Arabidopsis thaliana: one gene and its partners. The protein of the gene in region 1 interacts with the protein of each later gene in a pairwise test. Each region holds a gene or a part of one and is shown in the gene's direction. Other genes may lie near its edges.

Evidence for each region.
Region 2: the proteins of AT1G04880 (region 1) and AGL104 come close enough for resonance energy transfer, tested with the Arabidopsis thaliana proteins (one study listed by BioGRID).
Region 3: the proteins of AT1G04880 (region 1) and AGL66 come close enough for resonance energy transfer, tested with the Arabidopsis thaliana proteins (one study listed by BioGRID).

The regions. Positions count from the first base shown.
Region 1 is NC_003070.9:1,375,026-1,381,871, reverse strand, and holds AT1G04880 (HMG (high mobility group) box protein with ARID/BRIGHT DNA-binding domain-containing protein), read left to right. Parts: upstream 1-2,643; 5' UTR 2,644-2,779; intron 2,780-3,605; 5' UTR 3,606-3,607; coding exon 3,608-3,759; intron 3,760-4,128; coding exon 4,129-4,207; intron 4,208-4,361; coding exon 4,362-4,518; intron 4,519-4,610; coding exon 4,611-4,733; intron 4,734-4,836; coding exon 4,837-5,252; intron 5,253-5,346; coding exon 5,347-5,766; 3' UTR 5,767-6,048; downstream 6,049-6,846. Other genes in the region: AT1G04890 (zein-binding protein (Protein of unknown function, DUF593)), read left to right, coding at 1-596, 691-756; PRMT10 (protein arginine methyltransferase 10), read left to right, coding at 6,274-6,489, 6,651-6,843. UniProt on the Arabidopsis thaliana protein: Binds preferentially DNA with A/T-rich content.
Region 2 is NC_003070.9:7,810,990-7,816,360, reverse strand, and holds AGL104 (AGAMOUS-like 104), read left to right. Parts: upstream 1-2,015; 5' UTR 2,016-2,101; coding exon 2,102-2,286; intron 2,287-2,385; coding exon 2,386-2,439; intron 2,440-2,531; coding exon 2,532-2,564; intron 2,565-2,662; coding exon 2,663-2,681; intron 2,682-2,764; coding exon 2,765-2,826; intron 2,827-2,961; coding exon 2,962-2,989; intron 2,990-3,068; coding exon 3,069-3,130; intron 3,131-3,217; coding exon 3,218-3,478; intron 3,479-3,597; coding exon 3,598-3,763; intron 3,764-3,836; coding exon 3,837-3,974; 3' UTR 3,975-4,150; downstream 4,151-5,371. Other genes in the region: AT1G22140 (zinc finger CCCH domain protein), read left to right, coding at 784-867, 1,069-1,203. UniProt on the Arabidopsis thaliana protein: Probable transcription factor that forms heterodimers with the MADS-box proteins AGL30 and AGL65 and is involved in the regulation of pollen maturation at the late stages of pollen development and pollen tube growth.
Region 3 is NC_003070.9:29,313,983-29,319,955, reverse strand, and holds AGL66 (AGAMOUS-like 66), read left to right. Parts: upstream 1-2,769; 5' UTR 2,770-2,888; coding exon 2,889-3,073; intron 3,074-3,173; coding exon 3,174-3,227; intron 3,228-3,313; coding exon 3,314-3,346; intron 3,347-3,456; coding exon 3,457-3,475; intron 3,476-3,599; coding exon 3,600-3,661; intron 3,662-3,766; coding exon 3,767-3,794; intron 3,795-3,867; coding exon 3,868-3,929; intron 3,930-4,023; coding exon 4,024-4,123; intron 4,124-4,212; coding exon 4,213-4,545; intron 4,546-4,621; coding exon 4,622-4,744; 3' UTR 4,745-5,115; downstream 5,116-5,973. Other genes in the region: AST56 (STAS domain / Sulfate transporter family), read left to right, coding at 1,142-1,335, 1,454-1,548, 1,655-1,731, 1,839-1,991. UniProt on the Arabidopsis thaliana protein: Probable transcription factor that forms a heterodimer with the MADS-box protein AGL30 and is involved in the regulation of pollen maturation at the late stages of pollen development and pollen tube growth.

The DNA.
Region 1 (6,846 bases):
GTGAGAGAGAAAAACATTTCTTGGAGAAAGAAGTTGAAGCTTATAGACAACTACTCGAAGAAACAGAGGAATTGGAATGTTCTTTAATAAAAGAGAAGAATGTTCCAGAACCGGAACACAAACAAAACAAAGACTGTCAAGAGAGAAGAGCTTTGCTCGTTCAGGAACTTGATGGAACGGTTCTCGATATGCCTTATAGAGAAGAAGGAAACAGAGATAAAAACAGAGATCTGTATAAATCAGATTCAGAAGTCGCGTACTCACGTGTGCGTGATGTTTATATGGTGAAGGACGAAACAGAGAACATTAGTAAGAAGAAGAATCTAGAAGAATCCTCTGTTGGCAAACCTAAAGAATCGTTGGATGAAAACAGTATCATTGTCTCGGGGATTGCTCGAAAGCTACCTCCCTTATGTCGTCCACGCAAGAAGTCGCTGAGCTCTTCGGGTTCAAGGAGAAAATCGATGTCTGCGGTTGATTATGAGAGGTTAAAGATTGAAAATGAAGTGGAATTGTTAAGAGAAAGATTAAAGGCTGTTCAAGAGGAAAGAGAGGAGCTTACGAGACGAGCATCTTTGCCTCCTTTACCATCAAAGGTTTAAAACAAGTTTCCAAAACTCTATGCTGAAAAAAATCATATTACGTAAATAGCTTTCACTGACACTTTTTTTATATTGCCGTGTTCTTCAGGTTAGGGCTACGTCAGAGAAGCGAAGTTGGACAAGATCTTGTTCCATGGATCTTCACTCTTCTTGAAGGCTGAAGCCTTTTAAATTTTATGTACTTAGACACATACATGTTTGTATGTATAGTATACAGGATTCGATTATCAGTTACGTGTTTACAGATTTTGAGCCATCTCTATGGAGAAATCTTGGATCGCAAGTCACCCTTTGGGAATGTATTTTTCTATCGTCGATCATACATACTTGCTTTTTGTTCGTTTGTATCGACAATAATTATTCGACATAGTGATTCAAATATATATTACTGCAATAAAAGTTGAAGATAACTTATTTACATGTCCTCTTATCAAATCTAAGATACATTGAAAAAGTCATGCAACAACATCCATATATAACGATTGGAAGATATTTTTGTGTTGTTGATGAAAATAGATTATATATAATGTTCATTTTAGTGTAATATCACTTTGTCTAACAATAATTTAACCTCTCTTTTTTTTTAAACGAAGCTTTTCAACTGACTGATATAAAATATAACCGTTATTGTAGTATATCAGTTGTTCAATGGATTAAATTTTGTTCTAAATGTATGTAAGCGGTGATAATGTATGTAAAAATGTATTTTACAGATTGTTGAGAATTGAAATCTTCTTCTAGGATTTGAATGATTGAATCATTCTTATGTATATGATGATATTCTCCAATACTAATTAGTTTATAAGATACAGATAAAAAATAATGTGGAGAAAATCATAAAATATCATGTCGTTTCGCTTTATTGTTAAGTATATAACCTTTTATTTCCGATTTGGTGTTTTCTTATTTTTAACCTCTATAAACGATATGGTTGAATTTGCTAAACTAGTAAAAAATATCACGAAATATGTGCCAAGTCAAACTTTTAATGTCTAAAATAAGTATTCGTTGTATCATAAACTAATTGATATCATCATATATTAAATTCCCTCTTTTTGAAATTATACTGTTACACATGTTCTTGGTAAAAGATATCCAGCGTATAATATTGTTTCTTTCCATATATTGAAAAATGAAAATCACATGAACGTGTATTTTCAGTATATAGTGAAAAAAAGGAAAGAAAATGCCACTCGTATCCTAATCCACTCCCTCACTCCTTTTTTTTTCTCATTTACATTTTAAAGATTATATACACATATATATATATTTATAATAAATACTTTTATTTTTACAACTTTCTGTTGATATTACGAATTGTTTATTTTTATAATTACTATAAATCTTACAACTTTTAATTTTTATGTAAATTTATTTATTTATTTTTAACTTAGGTTTTTAGATTTTCTGATCCACTCATAGAAAAAGTTAAAAGTCCCTTCGAGGACATCCGATAAAAAGAAAAAGCTAAAAACGAATATAATAAAATAAATAAAAAACTATCATCATATTTTATATAAAAATACAAAAACATAAAATATTTTTAAAAATATGAAAATATATAATATTATAAAGTATTGTATAAGTTTTCTTGTATGTTTCTTAATTTATTCGATAAAACCGTTAATTCAATTTATAGTTTTTAGTTGTCCGGTCCACTCGTAAATAACGGTTACAACCGAATACGACAAAATAAATATAAAATTATTGTATAAAAATAGAAAAAAATTTGTTTCAATCACATTAAACTATATTTATCAAAAAAATAATAGAATACATAAATCAATTTCAAAATATTTATAATCTGTGGTCAATCTTCAAGATCTATATTTGTATTAAAATAGAAAATTGTTTTCTTCCTTTAAATTGATATAATTTTTCTCTCTTTCTTATCTTCCTCATATTTTTGCATTATTTCTTATATAGCTCAATTCTCTCTCACCCTTTGAAAAAAATATATTAAAATTTGACCTATTTTATAGCCACCCCATCTGTTATTTATAATCTTTCATCTGGGATCCTCATTTACACAATTCATTCATTCATACACATACGCATCATTCATCAACGTACGCGTCCCTCCCATTATATTCTCTTATATGCACTCTTTCATCACCATCAAAGAGAAACCAAAGCTTTCATTTTTATGAATATTCAAGGGTGAATAGTTAGCAAAGGTGACAACTTTCTTTCATTTTCTTTTAATCTTCTCATATTATTTCATCATCACTTCTTTTTCGTCGTCTGGGCTTTTGCTGCTTCTTGTTTGTTGCTTCGCGGGAAACCCCAAAAATGGTTTCTCTGTTGTATCGTCTATCGAGAATCTATTCGTTGTTTGGTAACAGAGAATTAATGGCTTCTTTGAAGAAAGTTGTTGTTGGGCCTTGAATTTCTCAATAGATGCCTGTAATGTATTTGTTAATATGCCTCCTCGAGGGGTTTTCTTGGTTTATGTTCCTTCGAATCTCAGGCTAATATACGTTGCCGGCGCAAAAATTCCCTCTTTTTTGTCAGAGCGATAGCGAGAGAGAGAGATTGGTTGAAAAAGATGTGTCTTTGTTATGATTCCTTAAAGTATGGTTGCTTTTGTAGCACAAGTCCTTTTACATTTAATGGCAATCTGTCGTATTCAGTTTTTTGTTCTGCATAGAAGAAACAGAGGGAAGAGAAGAATTCATGGAGGGGCTTTTATAGCTTTTTCCTTGAAGCCTTTCTTGGACTTTGCAATCTCTTATTTTCTTGTTTAAGTTTTTCGTCATTTGATTCTTTGTGGATAATATTTATAAATTGAACTCCTGTGTATGTATCTTTGAGTTTCTTTGATGGAAGACGGTTAATTACACTCTGATCTGATGTGTGGAGCCTTAAAGTCTCTGACTTTTGTTTCATTAATAAGCCGGATAGATAGTAAATGCTGAAGAAGGTTTAGTGGTTGTTAAAGAGCGTAAATGATCTTAAAGTGCTTACCTTTTTGTTTTCTTTTTTGTCTTTTGGCTGTGTTAGGAATGGCATCAAGCTCTTGTCTCAAGCAAGGGTCAGTGCCAATGAACAATGTTTGTGTTACCCCTGAAGCAACGTATGAGGCTGTGGTTGCAGACCCTAGGCTTTTCATGACTTCCTTGGAAAGGCTGCACTCTCTCTTGGGTACTAAATTCATGTAAGCTTCTTTCTTCCCTTATCATATCTTACTTAGTAGAGTAAGTTCAGTTGTTATCTGCTCTGACAGAAATTTGTGTTCAGAAAGTCTCTATCTTTGAGATTTAAGCTCTTATGTTGACGATGAATCATGCTTTGTTTTTCACCTACAAAAATTTTACCAGTTACAATGCATGAGATTCTCTGTCTATATTATGGATTCCTCTTCTGTGTGTATAGTCTGACTAAAAGTAATGTTCTTTTTTGTGTAACGCATTGTTCCTTTTGCTTCTTGGGGGTAATGTATTGTAACTTTTACATATTGGATATGGATGCAATACTTTATAGCTTATAGCTTTAACCATTCTACATATTACATTGGTGATTGTAGGGTTCCGATCATAGGAGGAAGAGATTTGGACTTGCACAAGCTTTTCGTTGAGGTAACCTCACGTGGCGGAATCAATAAGGTATGTGAATGCCCTCTCAGGCTCTCAATGATAAATTAATTCCATTCTATATGTATTGTCTGTTTTCTATGTCTCATATAGTTGGTTTTGTTCTAAAATCTTGAAATCTACATTGACATTTTTCCTTGGATCATTTTCCTTCTTTGAATTGCAGATACTTAATGAAAGGAGATGGAAAGAAGTAACTGCTACATTTGTCTTTCCTCCAACTGCAACAAACGCATCATATGTTCTGCGCAAATACTACTTCTCGCTGCTGAACAATTATGAGCAAATCTATTTCTTCAGATCTAATGGTCAGATTCCTCCAGGTTTGTTCATAAAAACCTCTTTAACTATTTTACCAAATTTTCAAATATTTTTCAGTTTCTTCTCTGTTTTGTAACACACATATCTTCTGTAGACTCTATGCAGAGTCCATCTGCTAGACCATGCTTTATTCAGGGAGCCATTAGACCTTCACAAGAACTTCAAGCTCTAACCTTTACCCCACAGCCCAAGATCAATACTGCAGAATTCCTCGGAGGTCTCAACTTTTTTCTCTCTTTGCTTCTATAAATGTTCCAACTGAGAAACTGTGACTTATAAATCTGAGTAAAATCCTTTTTCCTTTGATGTTATTGTTTCAGGATCACTTGCTGGATCAAATGTGGTTGGAGTGATCGATGGAAAATTCGAAAGTGGTTACCTTGTAACTGTAACAATTGGATCAGAGCAGCTTAAAGGAGTTCTGTATCAGCTTCTTCCTCAGAACACAGTTTCTTATCAAACTCCGCAACAGAGTCATGGTGTCCTCCCGAACACTCTGAACATTTCTGCCAATCCTCAGGGGGTTGCAGGAGGAGTAACAAAACGCCGTAGGAGAAGAAAGAAATCAGAGATCAAAAGACGTGATCCTGATCATCCAAAACCCAACAGAAGTGGTTATAACTTCTTTTTCGCAGAGCAGCACGCGAGACTTAAACCGCTTCATCCTGGTAAGGATAGGGATATCAGCAGGATGATTGGTGAGCTATGGAACAAGCTGAATGAAGACGAAAAATTGGTATTTCACACACTGATCTTTGAATTCTTATCAAACTCTGTTACGTATATCGAGTTTTTGTCTCATGATCTGTTTGATTTTCTTTTATTTCTAGATTTACCAAGGGAAGGCAATGGAGGACAAAGAGCGATACAGAACTGAAATGGAAGATTACAGAGAGAAAAAAAAGAATGGACAGCTCATAAGCAACGCTGTTCCGCTGCAACAGAGACTTCCGGAGCAAAACGTAGACATGGCTGAAGCTGACCTTCCAATTGATGAAGTCGAAGAAGATGACGAAGAAGGTGATTCAAGCGGATCCTCAGGCGAAAGCGAGCCACATGATGATCAGAGCATAGAAACTGATCCTGAATTGGAAGAGCCATCTCTGAATCCCTCAGGTCCAAACCTAAACCCTAATCCGACTGAGATAGTGGTGGCTCCTAAGGAGAAAAACGGCGATGTTGTGATGGAAACATCTCCATTGAAGAAAGCCGATGAGCCAACTGTGGCGGTGACTGCTGAGCAGAACTGAAGATTCTTCTCTTGTTTCTTACTCCCCGTTGCCAGTTTCGTGTTCCATAGGTAAATGTTAGAGAGAGGAAAGGGCTTCAGATACCTTGCTTCTGGCCCAAGATTATGTCTTTTTGGTTTTTTTTTTGGTTTTTTTGGATTTTTCTTCGGAAACAAGGCAAGTTTATGGTTATAACATTTTGGCATAAGAGAATTTTTTACTTTCGTTATTAATGGGATATCCTGTAAATTGGTGATTAAAATCTGAAAGGGCCTTATAAACTTGGGCTTGGAAAGCAAATGGGCCGAAGAAGTAATCCCTGTAATATGATTTTGAAAGCGGAGGAGGGAGACTTAAAGACTTTGATTGATTGATTTATAAAAGGAACCCTAAGTTTCCGAACTTTGTCCGTCGCCGTCTGAAAACTCTGTAGCTCTCTCACTTCAGCTTTCCAATTAAAGGGAACAAAGCTTTGATTTTTGCCGCAGTCAGAAGCATTACTTTGCAAGAACAAGTGTGTAAACAAAGATGAGGAGCTCCCAAAACGGCGGCGCAATGGGTGGACGAGCTGCCGGAACCGGCGGAGGAGGACCGTCGGCTCCAGTTGACAAAGAAGTTGACTACGCTCAGTACTTCTGTACTTACTCCTTCCTATACCACCAGAAGGATATGCTCTCCGACCGTGTCCGTATGGATGCTTACTTCAACGCCGTCTTCCAGAACAAACATCACTTTGAGGGCAAGGTATAATAAAGTTCACATCTTTAAGCTTAACAAGTGTTGGAAGACTTTCTATTTGTTTGTAGTCGATGAAAGATTATCTATTGCGAAGTTGTACCCATTGGTCTCTCTGTCTTTCTTGTGGTATTAATAGTTTGAATTGTTGTTTCTGTAATGTGATGAAGACTGTTTTAGACGTGGGCACCGGGAGTGGAATTCTTGCAATTTGGTCAGCTCAAGCTGGTGCCAGGAAGGTTTATGCCGTTGAAGCTACTAAGATGGCTGATCATGCTCGTGCCCTTGTCAAAGCCAATAACCTTGACCATATTGTAGAAGTCATTGAAGGATCTGTCGAGGATATTTCATTGCCTGAGAAAGGTA
Region 2 (5,371 bases), 6.4 Mb from region 1:
CATTTCGTTCTCTCAAAATAATTCTTGGAAATAGGATGTTTGGTTTGGTTTGGTTTGATTCTAGTTTTATTGGGTTTAATTGTTTTTAACTTTTCTCTATTTTTATCTCAATACTCTATTTTTACTTTAATTTCACTTCAACATATCTCTATTTTTATCTCTAAAATAGAGATGGGTTAGAGATACTATTATGGGTTTACTCTCCTATCGCTCGATCTCCTCTATCTCATAGTACTACTTTGCTTCATTTTTATAGAGTTTGGGAAAATCTTGTGTTTACGCCGGTGTATATTTGTAATCTATCAAATATCCTACCATTGATAATTTTATATAAAATTCACATGATAGAAAAAAACCAAGAAAGAAACGAAAAAACATACACATTGGCAAAATGACACCAATATAGCAACCGTAATGTATGATTAGACAATTTTAGGATCCTAAAGAGAGTCCATCGATTGTGATAATAGTTATGTATCATTATCATTCGAAAATCTTAATAAACTATAGTGGACCAATACAAGCACGAAGATTAAACCTCCTCCATTCAATTTCGTATTCGTTCATACTCAAAATTTAAGAAAATAACAAAAAAATGACGACCATCGGATTCAATCTTAGCTATTCATTGAAACGACGACGAAACGAGGAAAAGGAAACTTATGATGGGACAATCAATACGCTGTCGTTTAAAAAACAATAATTATCACGAAACCTATGAAGAAAAACAGATCAAAATAGAGAAATATTGAAATTCGTGCGTTGAGAGAAAAACGTTGAACGATGGGAGCCGGTAATGGAGAAACGCCAAAACCTACACAGATTTCAATTTCTAAAGATCAATTCCTCGCTTGGAAACGCCAAAAGGTATCTCTCTATCTCTTTCTCCTTTACATGTTGATTCCTAGTGAATATATCGATTTGAAGAACCCTAGATTTGATATCTCTACTCAAACGCATAATCTTTAGGAAGCCCTCGTTGTTTATTTTCATGTAATGAATCTTACATAAAGTTAATCAAAAGAATCATCATTATTGATTAACCTAAGTTTGTTGTTTACTTGTAAGGATGCTGAGTTATTAGCCAAACAAGCTGAAGCAGCAAGGAAACGACAAGAGGACATAGCTTCAGGTCGTGTTCCAATGAATGGTCGTGAGCTTTTCTTGCATGAGCCTTGGGTTTTCGACGATACTCATCATTGATTCTGGTCTATTCACTACTTCTTCATAGGTAACAGAGATCATTCGACTCTCATTAGTACTGCTACTTGCATCTGAGTTTATGAATTGGGACAATGGATCTGCAGATTGTGTGTGATCTGATGAAACCATTGTTGTGTTTTTTTGTTTCATCTCAAGAAACTAGCTAAAGAGATCTGTTACTGCATTATCTATTGATGTTGTCTATTTATGTGTGTTTCAGGTGATTTAAGACATTTCCTCGATGATTTGTGATCCAACTCTGTTTCTCTTTTGTTGTTGTACTCTCATGTTCCCACTTTTGTCTCAAGTGTTAAATCAGAAATTTAGTCCTCAGTAATTGTGACTTAATCGTTGGCTCTGATTATTTGGAAATTTGGTGGTTGAATGTTACATCCCTCAATGTTTGATATATATTCAAAGGCAAACAAAAGTCGAGACATTAACTGAAATTGTGTTAATGGGACATTTTTAGTGAAGATAGTTCATAGAGTCGACGAAAAAGACAACAAACTCTGCGCTATGATGTATCATGAGGACTATTTAGCTATCAAACTCATAAAAGTTAGCGTCTTTGATGCTTAAACAGCATATGAGTATCTCGTAATCTCATCACCGTTTATCCAAAGATTTTGATGAAAAAAGAAGAGCAAACTTAAGAAATCTCCAAAACGATATACAACGAAACGAGGCTAGAGAAGGAATATAGTCAAAAATTCTAATTTTAGTTCCTATTAACTCGCCTAATTATAAGCAGTTTTCTTCATCCTCCTTCCGTATATATTAACAAAATTATTTTCAAACAAGGATTTTTTGGATTGAAGTTTTGTAGATTACTGATCAGCATTATTATATCAACTTACGATTTGGATGAATCAAAATCTCTTCCTGCTTCGCCAATATGGGTCGGGTGAAATTAGAAATCAAGAGAATAGAGAACACAACGAATCGACAAGTTACGTTTTCAAAACGTAGAAATGGTTTGATTAAGAAAGCTTATGAATTGTCGATTCTTTGTGATATCGACATTGCTCTTATCATGTTCTCTCCTTCTGATCGCCTTAGCCTTTTCTCCGGAAAAACTCGGTATTACATCATTTAATTTACCCCTTTTTCATTAACATTTTCCATTGCTAGCTTTCTAGGTTTTGGACCATATCATATCTTAGTTCTCTGTCTCTTTAGGATTGAAGACGTTTTTTCAAGATTCATCAATCTTCCTAAACAAGAACGAGAGAGGTACGCTAAAAACTACTTTCTTTTCCAAGTTTTATAAATTACTACATTTTTAGTAAATTTTGACTTTGGTTATTTGATTTGTTTTCTTTCAGTGCTCTATACTTTCCTGACCAGAATAGACGCCCGTATGTATATCAGTTTTTCTTTTGTTACATTACACTTGATCATATGGGTATAATAAATTTTTCATGACCCTCTCTTTTCTTTTTTGGTTTGTTTGCAGAGATATTCAAAACAAAGAGGTTAGTTCTAATCATAGTGATTAGTTTGTTCCTCATTATGTTGTTTCCTTAAAGTCAAGAATAATGTTGTTGTTATGTGAAAGTGTCTACTAAGGATTCTGCAGCAACTCAAGACTGAAAATGACATCGCTCTTCAAGTCACGAAGTCCGTAAATTCCTTCGGTTTGTCGTTATAATTGATTTTATAATTTTCATATGTTTACCAAGATACACTCCTTCAAAACACATTTAAACTATACACTAAACTTTTTTTTTCTTTCATATAATTATTTTGAAAAAGCCCTGCAGCTATCAACTCTGACGTCGAGGTAATTAATCGTTATTCCATCAATTAATTAGAAGACATAGATATATTTCTAAATGTCTCGCTTGAAATCGGAAATCTAGGAACTTGAGCATGAAGTTTGTAGGTTACAACAACAACTCCAAATGGCAGAAGAAGAACTAAGGTTTTTACTCGAAAAATAAATGTTATATGTTATAGTTTATAATTTTTTTAACTCAAATCATGATTGCTTACTATATAATATGAGCAGGAGATACGAACCGGATCCAATAAGATTCACGACCATGGAGGAATACGAAGTTTCTGAGAAGCAACTTCTCGACACTCTAACACATGTTGTCCAACGGCGAGACCATCTCATGAGCAACCATTTATCTTCGTATGAAGCATCTACTATGCAACCAAACATTGGTGGTCCTTTTGTAAATGACGTCGTTGAAGGTTGGCTACCTGAAAATGGGACCAATCAAACCCATTTGTTTGATGCATCGGCCCATTCTAACCAACTCAGGTACTATAATTGTTTTTTTTTCTTTGATCAAGAAGATTTGTAAACTTTTCACATTTTTTTATAATCTTGATCAAGAAAATTCAGTAAATTTTTACTTTAAAGAAATGTAAAATTGGCAGAGAATTATCATCGGCAATGTATGAACCATTGTTGCAAGGAAGTAGCTCAAGCTCGAACCAAAACAACATGAGTGAATGCCACGTGACGAACCACAATGGTGAAATGTTCCCTGAGTGGGCTCAGGCGTATTCATCCTCGGCCTTATTCGCTTCTATGCAGCAACAGGTTTTTTTTGGTCTTTTTTTTTGTCTTTAATAACTTAAGTTAAAAATGTTGACTTTTTTGGTCAATGTGCCAGCATGAAGGTGTGGGTCCCAGTATAGAAGAGATGATGCCAGCTCAGCAGAGTGATATTCCGGGAGTGACGGCGGAGACACAAGTTGATCATGAAGTCTCCGACTATGAAACAAAGGTTCCTCAACTCAGTAGCCAATAATGTATTATTTATTTATGTATACCATTTTTAAAAATTTATTCATATTTTTTTCCAACAACCCATAAAAAAGTGAACTTTTTTTTGCCATGAGAAGACGATGAAGAGTCGTGTTATTTTTGTATACTATTCTTTTTGGCAACACCATTTTATAGTTTTATGGGCGAAAAGCAAATCAAGTTTTATCTTCTTTAATTTTCACAAAAAAAAAGAAATCTTATCTTCATTATGTTATTCTTATATGTGTTCTGTTTCTTTTTTTTTTCAAAATTACACTGCCATAGAAGTTATAGTCAGGAGAAGACAACAAAAAAGAAAAATCTGACACATAAATAACCTTTTACTACACAATTTGTTGTTAATTTGTAACGGAAAATTTTATCTTCTCAGTTTATACTAAAAACATGGCTACAGTAAAATCTCTTTAAATTAATAATATTGAGACAAAAAAAATTACTAATTTAGAGAGATATTATTTATCGATAAATTAATAAAATTGTACAAATTTTGGAAATTCTTACAATAATTCAATATAAGATGTAGTTTTTTTCTTTATAATCGATAGTATTTATGAAACCAATTACAAGTATAAAACAATTATTAAGTTTAAAAAATAATACAAATTTTTTTTGATGTTGTAAAATACTAGAATTGAATACTACAAAAAATTAATAAAATTGAAGAAAAACATTAATAGAATCATATTTTACATATGATATTTATAATAAATATTTGTAAATTTATACAATTATTAATTTATACTATTGATAGGACCATATATTTATATAAAATTTTCAAAAAAATTATTATCTTATTAATTTATCAATTTGTATCAATTTTTACATTGGTCCCAACTCTATACCGGAAAAATTTATTAATTTATCGAATAATAATTTATAGAGGTTTTACTGTATTTCGTTTCCACTTGTGTAGTTAAGACAAAAAAAAAAGAAAGAAAAACTGAATAGATATTTCTCATCAGATTTAGATTTTCTTCCTTAATTGTCTATTATCTTCCTTAATAGTCTTTTTCTATTAAGAAATAATCTTAAGATTTTTTTCCTTCCCCTGTAATCTATCCATTATAATTTTCTAAAACCGACAATATTCTATAATTTTGTTGTTGACTTGGCAGAATCTGGCAAATTTGGATTTTTGGTTGGTCTCCATATTTGCAGATTCTGTGTTGTGTCTTTGTAGATCCCATATTTCAAAAGTCAAAGAAAAATGCTTATTTTGGACCAATCTTTGCCTGGGTTACCAAAATTATAAAATTTTGCACAATATTTTATAAAATCGTTAATTTAAAGAATTTATAAAAATTTCAAGTTTATGATGTCTGAAATATAACTTCATATTTCTAAAATTTCACCAAATCTCATGAACTTTTAGAATATTGA
Region 3 (5,973 bases), about 28 Mb from region 1:
TTATAATCAACTTTACAATAAAAGTTTTTAGTTTAACTAAAATATAAGCCTACCTGCTGTATAATGCAAGTTAAAATTATAAATAAGCAGATTACCATCACGATGGATGTACCTTCTCACATACACACCTATCAAAAACTTAAAACCTTTCAAAACCTCTTGGTATATTCAAATTAGGATTCTTCATTCATGGAATCATTATTCCAAGGGTTTTGGGATGTCTTATGAAATGATTTTGGCAAAAGAGGATGTAAATTTTTTTGAATAAAAAGTAGTCAGCAAAACATATGTTTTATTGGGATTTTTTAGATAATTAAATCAGAGAATAGGGCTGGGCATATGAGTAACACATTCGAGTTCGGGTAGAACCCGTTCGGGTTTGGGATTAATGGGTATATGATTTACTACCTAATAGAATAATTCTAAATATTCGGTTCGGGTCGGTCCAGTTGGGTTTGAGTCAGTTTGGATAAAAAGTTTCAGGCCCTAAAAATACTCAAAAAAATAGAAACGGGTATTTTGTATGTAGATAGTGCGTCTCCAAACAAAAAAAACTTTTAAATTTATTAAGTTTTAATAAATTTAATTATATTTGAATATATTTTACTAAATTTTGACAAATATAACAAATAATTTTGACAAACATAACAAACATAACAAAATATACAATTTAATTTATACAAAATATTAATAGCACGGGTTATGATCTAGTTTATTAACTATATAATTGAAACTATTGTTTTTACTCAAGATTGATTGATGCCCTGAGGAAGTCAACAAAACTCTTTATATTCAATCATGTGAATTATTCCTATAGACAACAAAAGCGTCGATATCTCATATATTTTCTAACCAATAAAACTGCTATATAAAAATGCTACTAGGCCGACCAAATTCGCTGTGCATAGACAGACCCTGTACGACAAAACAATCAATAATGTATACTGTTTCATTCAAGTGGCAAATAAGTACACAAAAAATCAAATACATATGTTTAAAGTACCTTTGAAAAACTGGCTGTGAGAATGGATACTTGTGATCGATCTTTATCCTTTTGATCAGCTTAATCAGTTGTGATCTTACACTGTGAATTTTGATGGATAAGACTATGTATATAACAGAGTTATTTGTATATATGTAGGTGGGGATATCGTTTGCAAGAATAATGTTGAGTTCGATAAGACCAAGCATTGAGGCCTTAGGGAGGTTATCAAAAACAGATATCTTCGGTGACATAAATCAGTATCCAATGGCAAATAAGACTGCAGGATTATTGACTCTTCGAATCAGTTCTCCTTTGCTATGCTTTGCTAATGCCAATTTTATAAGAGACAGGTCATTAATCAATATTTATCTTCTTCTTTTTTTTTTTTTTTTGTTCAAACATCATTAGTTACTCTTGTGAAACTCTTATCAGTTTGACAAAAAAAATAAATATTTTTTCTTCTTTCAGAATATTGAATTCAGTTCAAGAAATAGAAGGAGAGGAGAATGAACAAGAAGTTCTAAAAGAAAATGGTCTTCAAGTAGTAATTCTCGACATGTCTTGTAAGCACATCCCACATTCTATCATGATATACTAATTTATAGAAAATGTTTTATTGTATATATAGTAGAGGTACTGAATCTTACATGTAACAAAATATTGGTGAAGGCGTGATGGGCGTAGATACATCAGGAGTATTTGCACTTGAAGAACTACATCAAGAGCTAGCTTCTAATGACATCCGGGTACATCTTTATTTCTCAATCAAATGTTATTCATTCACTATAGTTACATATGTGGGTTCATTGGATTTTCAAATTACCAATATTTGTTTTATGTTTGTGGGCTGCAGTTAGTCATCGCTAGTCCCAGATGGAGGGTACTTCACAAATTGAAGCGAGCAAAATTGGACGAGAAAATAAAGACAGAAAATATATATATGACAGTAGGAGAAGCCGTAGATATTTATGTAAGAGCAAGATCTACGTCCCACGAGTTGTGTTGATATATATATGTAAGAAACAGTACAACTCAAACATATAACCTAGTGATAATTTTATTGTTTTCTCATATAGCCTATAGTTTTTATTTAATGTACACCTGACTAAAAAGTACAAATTTCAATGCATAAGGCTACAAAATATTCTTCTTCTTTTTTTTCTTTTTTTCTTTTTATTTTCTTTTACATCTTTTGGTTTGGCTTACAATTTTTTTTTACATCTTTTGGTTTGGTTTACATTCCTAAGTGTTTTTTTAAGAAAAATAAATAAAATAATACAAGGATATATATAGCAGTGAATTGGAATCAGAACTTACATTGGTGTCTTGGTGAGTGAATAATCATATGAATCTTCCACTTTGAACATCATCACGAACAATTCACAATGTTTAAGCAAAAACACCTTGAGATAGTGTTTAACGGTCGGAAAATATAGCCGTTGAAGGAAAGTCAAATATTTGACCATTAAGTAGATATTGCCGAAGCCTCTCCATATGCTGAGAGAGTAGCCATTGCGAGGTAAAGAGGACTAGTTGACTTTTATGTTTTGTTTTTACAATTAATTATTGACAAAATAAACGATATATGCTGGTTAATCTGAACGTTATTAATTGATCCCAATACTCCTATATGAATTTTCTGTGGCAAAAAATAACATCATATTCTTAATTCGTTCAAAGAACAAAACCCTTTTAATCTCTCTTAATCTCTTCCATACATTTCTAACCAAATCTCTCTTATACCTAACCTCTCCTTCTTTCATGGTTCTCTTTTCTCTCGTCCGTACATCTCTCATATATATATAGGCACTTTTGCCTCCAATGATCAGATTTTCGCATTCCCTAAACCAAAATAAAGAAGAGTCTTTGAGTTTGTTGGTTGCATTGATCGGATATAAGAGACATGGGTCGAGTGAAATTGGAGATAAAACGAATAGAAAACACAACGAATCGACAAGTTACATTCTCCAAAAGACGAAATGGTCTTATAAAGAAAGCTTATGAATTGTCCATTCTTTGTGACATCGACATTGCTCTCCTCATGTTCTCTCCCTCTGATCGCCTTAGCCTCTTTTCGGGCAAAACAAGGTTTTTTGTTGTTGTTGTCTTATAACATTTTCTTTCGGTTAATTGTACAAAACATGGAAACATTCATTTGATCTATATTTATTCGTTAAACTCTTGTCAGGATTGAAGACGTTTTCTCTAGATACATCAATCTTTCTGATCAAGAACGAGAGAAGTAAGCTGACCTTTCAAGGCTTTAATAGATTCTCTAAAGATATTCCACTCATTTGTTCTTAATATTTCTCTTTCATTTTGTTTTAGTGCTCTAGTATTCCCCGATCAAAGTCGACGCCCGTATGTATCTTACTCTTATTCCGATAAATAATTAAACATATAATAACCGTATATTTATAATCATCAAAATCTAATTGAGTTTTTCATATTTTGACAACTCTATCTTGCAGAGATTTCCAGAGCAAAGAGGTATGTAATTAGATTAAGCATATTGTGCATGTGTCATGTGTGTATATATACCTAGCTCCTTTTCAATGAAGGACAATTATACATTTCAGATTATTGATCTCGAAATTTTCTTGTCACGTGACAGTATCTACTCCGGACTTTGCAGCAACTCAAGGCTGAGAATGATATTGCTCTTCAACTTACCAAGTCTCAAATTCTTTCTCTACTTTCATTATTATATAACTACGTTATTTGCAATAATTCGGAAGTTGATTTTCTTTATTTTTCTCTTATTGGATGATTTTAAAAAAGCCCTACAGCTATCAACTCCGACGTCGAGGTGAATCTTCTATTTTTTTCCTCTAGCTAATAACTTTACTTTATGTTATTTACTCTCTAATCATCAATTTTAGGAACTTGAGCATGAAGTTTATAAGTTACAACAACAACTTCTCATGGCAGAGGAAGAACTAAGGTCTTCTTTTTATAACCAAAAACACAGTGAATGTGATACAATGTATGAAAATTTATGTAACTAATACTTATATCCAAATTATATATATAATTAGGAAATACGAACCAGATCCAATCAGGTTTACAACAATGGAAGAGTACGAAACTTGTGAGAAGCAGCTCATGGACACCTTAACACGTGTCAATCAACGACGGGTCAATAATTTAAACTCCCCTTTATTTTTTTCTAAGCATAATGTATTCAACAATATCTATTAGTAACTAAATAATTTCTTGAGACGCAGGAACATATATTGAGTCAAGACCAATTATCTTCATATGAAGCATCTGCTTTACAACAACAGCAAAGCATGGGTGGGCCTTTTGGAAACGACGTCGTTGGAGGATGGCTGACTGAAAATGGGCCTAACGAAGCCCATTTATTCGACGCATCGGCACATTCAGCAATGTATGAAACTTTATTGCAAGGAAGTAGCTCAAGCTCGAACCAAAACAACATTATGGGTGAATCCAATGTGTCAAATCATAACGGTGACATGTTTCAAGAATGGGCCCAAGCCTATAATTCTACTACGGCCCATAACCCTTCGACTCTATTTCCTCCTATGCAGCATCAGGTTCTATATTTTCTCTTTTTCCGAAATAAATTAAAATTGTTTCACTAATTTTTTTTTTTGCTTTTAAATATGTTAGCATGGACTGGTGGTTGATCCCAATATAGAAGAAATTGAAATACCGGTTATGAAGAAGGATGCACAAGCAGACCACGAGGTCTCCGACTATGATATAAGAATGCCTCAGCTCAGTAGCCAATAATCTCAAGGAATTTCAATTTTACCATATATTATTGACATAATTTATACGTTTTTTCTTTTATTTTTTAGAAAAGTTAACAATATATATACGGTTTTATTTATCTATGAAGACAAGATATTACTATATATATGTTTATATAAAACACAACTTCCACACTTAAGAGTTAAGACCTTAACCTTTTATTGACTTGTATATTGTACATAACGTTTCTATTATAAAAAAAACATTTTACTGTTAAACAATGTATATACTATATATTATGTATATAAAACATGAAAAACATGTTTTGCTCTCAAATATGCATATGATTATGTCAATTTTGCTTGTCTAATTTTTTTAAAAGATCATTCAACTTTTGGTTGAGTGAAGATAATCATAATTTTGTTTGGACTTATTTAAGTATAAAACAGTTGAAAGAGAAATTTAACTTAAAACAAAAAAACAAAAAACGGAAAGAGTGATTTTTTAAAATTTTTAGTTTTTTTATTTGATATCACTAACGTACGCGGGTTTAAACGTTCTAGTGGAGACACTATGGTTAGTATTTAGAAAATTATTTTGATCTATCGAATTTTAGTGGGTGCAGTTGCTCAATACTTGTAATACATGCAAATGCATATACCTCTATATTAATCTTTTTTTTTTTTGGTAGAATAGGAGGAGACTATGTCTCTCACCAATTCATTAAAAGAGAATAAAACGCCATACGTATATACGAACATTCTATAAGTGCGCAGACCCACTAATATCCTTTAAAAAAATAAAACAAATAAAATCAGGACTAATAGTAACATATGCATTTTTCTATTTTAAAAAAAAAACACTGGTTTCCATAAATTTGTGTGATATCTGGGAAAAAAAACATAAAATATTAATTTAGGCTTTTTTCTTTTATTATAAATTTTCTAAGAACTTCAAACTCGTATGTGTTATCCACTAATTAAGATGCATTGACAAAAAAGTAGTATCTAATAAAGTCAATATATTCTATAAATAATGGACCAATCAAGAAATTTGTGAGACAATCTTATATATACTTGTGCCCCCAAAAAAAAAAAAAAAAAAAAAAAATCTTATATATACTCATAGAGATCAATTATATAACCTTACGTAGACGATGAAGTGGTATGACGTAAAAACTGTCCTCTATATATGAAAAAAAGAAAGGTTAGTAACTTAGTATGTAGAATTTGAGTTGTATGTGTTAAACAAATTCACAGAAATTTAAT